Schizosaccharomyces pombe: one gene and its partner. The gene in region 1 interacts genetically with each later gene. Each region holds a gene or a part of one and is shown on either strand. Other genes may lie near its edges.

The links.
Region 2: of aut12 (region 1) and nem1, changing one enhances a phenotype caused by changing the other (phenotypic enhancement), as found in Schizosaccharomyces pombe (one study listed by BioGRID).

Annotation. Positions count from the first base shown.
Region 1 is NC_003424.3:641,345-645,861, forward strand, and holds aut12 (autophagy associated protein Aut12), read right to left. Parts: upstream 2,195-4,517; 5' UTR 2,169-2,194; coding exon 874-2,168; intron 788-873; coding exon 541-787; 3' UTR 501-540; downstream 1-500. Other genes in the region: grh1 (GRASP family protein), read right to left, coding at 1-57, 104-283; chaperonin-containing T-complex beta subunit Cct2, read left to right, coding at 3,367-3,369, 3,406-3,537, 3,585-4,517.
Region 2 is NC_003423.3:3,371,360-3,376,124, reverse strand, and holds nem1 (Nem1-Spo7 phosphatase complex catalytic subunit Nem1), read right to left. Parts: upstream 2,824-4,765; 5' UTR 2,661-2,823; coding exon 1,230-2,660; 3' UTR 573-1,229; downstream 1-572. Other genes in the region: U3 snoRNP-associated protein Utp3, read left to right, coding at 1-564; RNA polymerase I transcription factor subunit Rrn6, read left to right, coding at 3,941-4,765. UniProt on the Schizosaccharomyces pombe protein: Catalytic component of the nem1-spo7 complex which acts as a phosphatase and may be required for proper nuclear membrane morphology.

The DNA of each region.
Region 1 (4,517 bases):
AGTTACTTCGGGGGAAGAATCACGAAGCAAAGCCATAAACATTGAAGGGTCTCCATTCTGTGAAAAACACTTTAGTAATGATAAAACTATAATCAGTTCATACCAGTAAGATCCCATTCACTGCCGTTATAAAATCGTAATAAGACTCAATTCTGGCATTATAGGCTTTCGAATCGTTTTCAACCTTTAATACTCTGAAACCACATGATTCATCTGATTCTCGATGAATACCAGCTAAAGCTTCTGATTTTTCTTTAATAAAGTTCTTTAAACCACCAAACATTTCGATTGTTTAGTACTTAAATAGGGTTGGTGGTGATTTAGGTAATGGCGCGGTTGACTCGCTATGATATTAAGTTCATACAGTCGGAAATTTATGTGAGTAAAATGATGCTGATATTAATAAATTAAAACAAAAAAAGGAAAAAGAAAAATTAATAAAGCTGTTGGAAGCAATCACCGCTCTTTTAAATATTTTACTGTCAAAACATCATAAAAAATAAAAAGAAATGAATTTCATTAAACTTTACATGCTCATTATCAAAACGAAAGGTTTGTTTGTATAAATAATCGATTCTCCTCCCTTCGTATCCATCTCAAAATCTTATTAACATTTGCAATAAGCAGTTGACTGCTAGTGGTAGCGTTAGCAATACAATGAAAGTCGAACGATGCAGTTGACCACGTGAATAGAAGCAAAGATTCATGGACAGTCATATTAATTGAGAAAGAATTTTTTTTGTGAAATGCCTGGTCGTGTAAGCTAGCATAAATAGCATAAAGAGTTCTAAAAACATAGTTAGCAAAGCAAATGAGCCCAAAGATAGCGATCGTATTGAAATTGTAAAGAAAAATAGATCATTGTATACGTACCTAGTATTGAAATTGGGAGTTGAAAATGAATAGCCAGGAGTATAAAACTGTGAGTATTTCTTTGAATAAAACAAGTAATGTGAAATACAAGGAGATCCGGGATTCCTTGGCGTAGTTCTATCCATTTCTTCACAATAAATGAGCTTTTTCAACCATCCATGATCCTGAATTTCCTGAGCAACTTTGCATTTCACTGATTGCATTTCAAAAAAGACACCACTTTCGCTGCTCCCCATTATCAAGACAGTGTCCTTACATAGGAAATAGCTATAAATGTAAATATAAGCATCTGGATTTAGAGTAGGAAAACAAACAGGCACCCAATGCTCCATTGAATCATTAAAAGACTGTGTGCGGAAGAGTGATAGGAAAAGTAAATAGAGATCATTAGCATGTAATAAAAGCTTCTTCGCCTTAACCATACAAACAAGCCGACCTCGTATAGCTATAAAAGTAAACAGCAGAGATTTGGGTGTTTCTCTCAACAGCAGTTGCGACAGCTGATCACGAAAAGAGGAACGTAAAGGAAGAGGAGATATGGCATTCAATGTGGGGACTAATTCATAATCATTAAGTTGATCACATAGTTCTTTTAGGAACTGCTCGTTGCTTCCAATAAGTCTTCTCAAATCAAAATTTGGGCGGGAGTTTAAGGTCAGCTGCATAGCTTTCGCAGTAACCCCAGTAAGTATTTGGCAATATAAGAGGTTTAACTCACTGAGTAAATATGCTGCGCTTAAAGTTGTCGATGGCGATACGCCAACAAGATAAAGAGGATTTTTGGAGAGAACAACGATAACATTGGAAAAGGTAGAAAAGCTTGTTAGCTCTTCTTTCGACACTTCGAAAGAGCTAATAATTGCTTGTAACGCGCCAACGGTTGATGGCTCAATTGAATCATCAACAATGTTACTAAACACGGGCTTCCCTGATGAAGAGAATATCAAATATGTGCGCTTTTGTTTTGCCAAATCAAAAGATATCAACGAAAGTAGTTTTATAATTTCATCAACAGCCGTATTGTTACTACTGCTCGATACTGAAGTGCTTACATTAAGCGGAGAGGAATTATCATGCAATATATCAGAAAGTAATTGTTCAACGTTTTCCACGTGGCTTCGCAATTCTGGTGTAGACCTGCTTACTTCTTGATCATCCTCTGACACCGAAGGCGCTGCCATTAGAACATTACCAGGGTTTAACAGCAGTGATCCACATTCCGACTCATGAGATCTATGAACGTTATCATTTTCCACTTCCTCCTTGATTGATGAATGCTCAGATGTTGGTTCCATCAACTGGCTGTTTTCATTAGTGGGATGGATTGAATAAGGAGGACTGTAGCTGTTGTAATAATGCTAACCTCGCTTCATTCACTCATTTACGGTTAAAATTAAGGGAAAAGAAGGCGTTTTAAATATTTTGCTTTTTATTGAATAAAAAATAATTATTGATTCTTTAAATAAATGTTGAAACTCAACTTTGCGGTGCAATCATAAAGATATTGTGCCGAAGATGATTTCGTACCTAGTTGTATAGGTAATTCAAAAGGGAAGATTGGAATGGCTGAGTCTTCGGCAAAGAATTTCATATTACAACTAAATGGCATTCAAGATACGTTTACATGGAAGTCAATTGTATACAGAGAACAGTACTGAATTTAAAATAAAACTAATAATTACACGTTCTATGAAATGTACGCGCTCTAAACTAAGAATACTCTTTGGTTAAGAAATTAATGTTAAAAAGCGCTTAGAATATAGCGCTAGATGTATTACTACAAACTGTTTATATTGAGTTATTTAGGAGTGATCACTGATCTATCGTTTCAACTAAAATGCTGCTTATCCTTGACTTCTCAAGGTCTAAGGATGGTATTCACATTTAAAGATCTAGAAACTTGTTGGCTAACTTTTCGAGATGGTTCCATCTAATATTGAATAGAATTGAGATTTGCGCATTGGTTCTTTCAATATCTATATTGCTCCAAAACAAAAACATTAGTCTAGTACTTGTAAGAAAACACAAGTCATACAGGGAATCGAAAATAAAAAATCAGTTGAAATCTTTAATCGACGCTTCATATTTCATTTTGAGCAATAATAAAACACTCGATTAAGCCAACCATCATCTAGTTTGTTGAACATGCTCAGTAGTCGGTATTAACTTCATAGAGACTTGAATAGATATAGGAAATCTTTTAATTTTTTGATATTTTATATTTGAGAGTAATAGAATAGTGTTTTATATAGCAATGCTTAAAAGCTGTCTCATTATTTTCTTTTGCATGAATATGAACGTAAGAGAATGAAATATATATATTATAAAAATATTTGATTATAATATTATTTACGATCCAAAACTAGAAATATACAGTCGCTGGTACATGCCTGGTAAGCTACGGCTTACGTTGTTGCGACGAGCTTCTTGTTCGCTGTAAGCTACTTTCCACTCAACCACCGCAACTCTGGGTTTATCGTACACTATCTGGAAATGGTAATATCATGTGTAAAAACCGTACTAACGATATAGTCTTTAAATCCTCATCAGATTTTTAACGAAAGTGGCATCCAAGAGCGGGGTGAAAATGCCCGTCTTTCATCGTTTGTGGGTGCAATTGCTGTGGGCGATTTGGTAAAAAGCACTTTAGGTCCTAAGGGAATGGTAAGGTCAAATCTACATAGAAAAAATTTTTAATTAACGATTTATAGGACAAAATTTTACAATCAAACTCTTCGGGTGATATTGTTGTGACAAATGACGGTGCTACCATTCTTAAGTCTATAGCTTTGGATAATGCAGCTGCTAAAGTTTTAGTGAATATCTCAAAAGTCCAAGATGATGAAGTTGGCGACGGTACTACCAGTGTGTGTGTCTTCGCTGCTGAACTTCTTCGTCAAGCAGAAATTATGGTCAATGCAAAAATACATCCTCAAGTGATTATCGATGGTTATCGTATTGCTACTAAAACTGCTATCGATGCTCTTCGTGCTTCCTCTATTGATAATTCTAGTGATCCTGCTAAATTTCGTAGTGACCTCGAGAATATTGCCAGAACTACTCTGTCTTCCAAAATCTTATCTCAGAATAAAAACCATTTTGCTCAGCTGGCTGTTGATGCAGTGCTTCGCTTGAAAGGTAGCACGAACTTGGATAACATTCAAATTATTAAGATCCTTGGTGGTAAACTTGATGACTCCTTCCTTGATGAGGGATTTATTCTCAATAAAACTATTGGTGTTAACTGTCCCAAAGTTATGGAAAATGCTAACATTTTAATTGCTAATACGGCTATGGATACGGATAAAGTGAAAGTTTTTGGTGCTAGGGTTCGTGTAGACACAACTGGCAAGCTTGCCGAACTTGAACGCGCTGAGCGCGAGAAAATGAAGGCTAAAGTTGAAAAAATCAAAAGTCATAATATTAATTGCTTCATTAACCGTCAACTCATTTACAATTGGCCAGAGCAGCTGTTCGCTGACGCTGGTATTATGTCCATTGAACATGCAGACTTCGATGGAATTGAGCGGCTGTCTTTGGTCACTGGTGGTGAAATTGCTTCAACTTTTGACCATCCTGAACTTGTCAAATTAGGTCACTGTAAGAAAATTGAGGAGATCATTATCGGTGAAGATAAAATGATC
Region 2 (4,765 bases), on another chromosome or scaffold:
GCAGCTAAGCGTTCCAGAGCGGTACTGGAGTTATCAGGTGATTTGGACATGCCATACAAAGAACGAAGATTTGAACGCCAGCAGCGATTGATGAGAGAAGCTGCAGCCAGGGGTCGAAATCAGGATGCTGGTGCTGATCTTGATGATGAAGATCCGGAATCAATGGGCATACCTGCAAATGTCGATCGTGAAGTTGAAGATCAAGATGATTTGGATTATTACGAGTCTCTCGATAAAAAATCAAAGATGGCTAAAAAGCTCCGTAAAGAAAATCACGATCTCGAACGTGATTTAATAAGAGCTTCAAGGCACCCAGAACTAATTGAATTAGGTGAAGGTGATAAGCGTGGAATTACTTTAGACATTGCTAAAAATAGAGGATTAACTCCCCGTCGACCTAAAGAAAATAGAAATCCTCGACTTAAAAAGCGTATGCGCTACGAAAAAGCTAAGAAGAAATTAGCCAGCAAAAAGGCTATTTACAAGGGCGCACCACAGGGCGGCTATGCTGGTGAGCAGACTGGTATTAAAGCTGGTTTAGTTAAAAGTATTAAACTTCAATAGAAGTGGTGGTTGGTATTGATTCAACTATTAATTCTGCATATATTAGGTTTTTTGAATTTTCGTGTTATTAGATACATATAATAATAATGTGGTTTTGGGTTATGTTATTTGCTAGAACAATGTCGTTAGCCTAGTGATATGATTTTAAAATGCTAAAAGTCTATGTAATCTGGTTTATAATCATTAAATCATTTATAATCCTTTGCCCATCCTGATTAAGTAAGTTGATTGTAATAACAGATTGAAAAGTAAAAAAAAAAGAATCAACACTTAAATAGAATAAACATGTTTATTAAAAGCTTGATTTAGAAAGAAATTTCATAAGTAAGTTGCCTTCGTAATTGCTGCGAACATCAGTGCAGAAACTAATCTTTCTTAAAACATGCGTTTAGTTTATTAGAAAGAATTTCTTACGATTAGGCTTACATTAATTGACATATTATCAGCAAAAAGAAACAAAAATTATTTAACTGGAATGGCCCAAATGCGGTCTAGGAAATATCCAAAAGGTACCCTTTTGAGGTTATAACAAAGAAGTTTGATGATGAGAAAGGAAAGGCACCCAAGATGTTAATGCAGTAGAAAAAGTTATTTTAGACCATCGTTACTGGTGATAAATAACGAGTAAATTACTCACGAAAAAAAAAAGGAATCATGAAAAGCACTTATTTTGCGAGACGAAGCCCCAAAAGATCTCGCACATCATGAACATATTGCAGTGCATGAAGAAAAGAAAGTAAGTTTAGTAAATCAACGTCAGAGGGGTCGCTAATCCAACCTTCAATAGGTATGGCATTTTCTTTATGAGCATTGTAACTGGCTGGAGAATTATCAATTATCATGATCCGTGAAAGATGAATATTACAAATGGAAATATCTTTAACGAAAGAACTATCGACAAGTGCACAGTGTTGACGGTAGTATCGTTTAGCAAATATTTTTTTATCACGCTCCAAATAATCAATTATTGGATCAGCATATGGCTGGACAGATGCTGTGAACAAAATAAGGCGAAACCATTGACTCACATTTGATAAAAAGTAGTCAAGATGAGGCCTTTTGTGAATATAGTAAAGGATTGGATGTTCACCAGGCACATGTACTTCAATTGGCTGTCCAGAAGTCGTTCGACTACCACGAGACACGGAATGGATAAGTGTTTCATCCAAATCTAATACAAGGGTCTTTCTCGGTAACTTGCTATTCAACAAAGGCCTCGGTATTTTGTCCGCACACAGAGTAATGTTTCTAATACGGAGACGGGAAGAAGAAGGAGATTTAAGAGGATCATTAACTATCGTAAAGGAGGAAGGCAGCTTAGAAATATTGTCATTAGCAGGCGGGGAAAACTGAGTTGATTGAGGTTGATGCGAATGTCCTGAACGATTGGAATTTGCTTTTCCCATTAGGGAGACCTCTTTGGGTTTCATAGGAGAAACACACACATCTTCTTCTGAATTCAATGAATTTGAAAAAGAATTGAAAGAAATTTCTTCTTCTGCAATAGAGGGCTGAAAACGAACATGATTTCCATTAGAAGAACTGCTATAAGAATTAGAAGATCTATGTCGTTTGAAAGATGAATAGGCAGGATCCTGGTGAGAGGATGGGTAAGAATAAGAAGAATAAAACCTAGGACGGCGGACACTTGGCTGAGGGGGAAGCATCTCTCGGCGTTTATACGATAATAATACAGGAAAAAAGACAAACCGGCATAGACCCCAAAAAAAACTTGCAAGGGTAAACTCTTTCTCTTCATTCAAAAAGTGGTACAAAAATACACGAGCGGAATGAACGAAAAACGTATAAATTCGTTTCAGGAACACACGAATCCAGTAGACGACAACACGCATAATGTTGGCATGCTTCGGTTTTTCATTCCTTGTAGGAACTTCCTTTTCCGTCGGTTTTGATGACAAACTGCTAAGGCTGGACGCCGAATAAGACGATCTACGACGATTATAATGCCTCAAAGTAGCTGATGAAGCTCGCCCCCGAGCATTAGCAAGTTTTTCTTTGTCAGCTTCATCGTCGTCTAAAGGAGTGGCAAGGATTGCTTTATTAATTTCATCTGATAGCCTAGCAATCGAATTCATTACAATTATTTTCTCTCTGCTGCGATTGCAAAGAATTAAAAAATTCACCAAAAGAAGCGATGCATACAAAGTATACAACGACCAAGCAGAGTCCTTTTAGTAAAAAAGAGTAATTAATTAAATATGTGTTAGTTAGACCTAAAATATGTGGGAAAACAAAGCCAGAATCACACGGTGGTACGATGCACAATATATATAATGATGAACTACAACCCAAATAATAACATTTTCATAAGACGTAATGCTTAAGAAGATATATCAAAACTACCTTAAAGTAACAAATTTAAATGTAAACAATACGGTGTAAATATTTATTAAGTTCGTAAAATGAAAGTTCATTGCAGAAGCTTTCATTTTTTTTAACTAATAAACTTTACTTGTATGGGTTTCTGTGCAAGAAAAATTAATTTTCATTTTATTAAAAGTCTAAATATTTGTAGAAGCTAGCTTAATTGCCATTCTTTTAATCAACGTTTTGCTAGAATGTAAGTCGCCGAGCGGTCTTTTTAGGTTTCTTGACATTACTTGAAAGATGCTTTTAAGTCTAAATATATTTAATGGTACGTTAAAATGTATCAAGCTCCTTTAGACGTTGCATACAATAAATTACTTACAAATAACAGGCTGAACTAACTTATTGACTTTACAAAATTATAAACATATCGATAAAATTGGTTAAGCGGACACTAAAGAGAATTCAAAACACTTGCTAATCTGAATATTGCACTCTTCCTCAGGTATCAGCACCTCCTTACGTATTTTTTATGAAAAGGGAAAACTGGGCTAATGCAACATTCGTAAACCAATTTATCTATTGCTAAATCATTCCAAAATCGTAAGCGTTTGCATTTCATTGTAAAGGAGATTGTTTTGTTGCTGTGTTAATCTACATGTAATTGATAGCAGCTTAGAGACTTCGGAGAAGAACTCCTCTCCTACTTGAACACTGTCTTATGACTAATTTAAGTATTACTTTTAAACTTCATCTTTTTCTAGTAAAGAGAAATTCTCAGTTAACATAAATCAATAAATTGTTCAATTGAAAGCATGTAGTCGGTAGGAGTTATATTTTATATAATTATATAATGGTTTAAAGATAGCACTTTAAATATATTATAGTATAACAATAAAGTCAAGTTCTTAACTATAGGTGAAATTACTCCAGCATTGCTTCCTTGAAACACTGATTACTTGCTTTGTCGCTAGGTTGCTCTTGTATTGTCGTTAGATGTGTTTTTGTAAACACAATTCAATCTAATTTTATTTTTCTAATTATCTTCATGTCAACATGGCCTATTGATGCAATTAGTAAAAAACCTAGTGTAAGTTTGGATTATGGAATTATAGGGGCGTGTCAACTTTTAAATCCATCTGGCTATCACAGAGCGGAGAAGGTTGAAAATAATGAATGGACTTTTGCTAGGTATGACTCCTATACGGGCGTCGAGCTTGTTGACTTGGACAAAAGATGGGATATCTTATCTTTAAATCCAAACTACAAACTCCCTAAATTAACTGAGCTTCCTGCTGAGGCCACCAATTCCACGCGTAAAGCGACTAGTAGTTCATTTGGTTTAAGTGTTTGCAGATATGTTCCGCGAAATTTATTTTCTACACTAGCGAAAGAGTCTCAATTAGCTTCTTCTGCTGAGTCTATATATAATCCACATATTTTAAATACTTTTTGCTTGGGTAAAACAGCGCCATCAGATAAAAACAGATACACCACAACTGAATGTCTTGCTTGTAGCAAGATTAGCAATGAAACTGCGGAAAATCTCCTCTTTTTATGCCTCTCGTCTCCATGGATTTTTCGTGCATCTCCGACATTACAAAATACTGCAACTTTTGAAGAATTCCCATTTTACTTGAATGTATCGGCTTTTGAGTTTGCTGAGGATCCAATATGGAAATTCTCACAACCAGTGAGACAATTGGTTTTCTCTAATGGAGAACCAAGTTTGCTCTTCGCATTATCGTCTTGTGAGTTGGTTATATTCCAGGTAACTTATGATTTAATGTTCTTAGATGAGCCAAATACACCTGGATGCTTGTCCGCTATACCTCTGCGTTTTTTGTACGCAGATGATGTTTATAATTCTGAC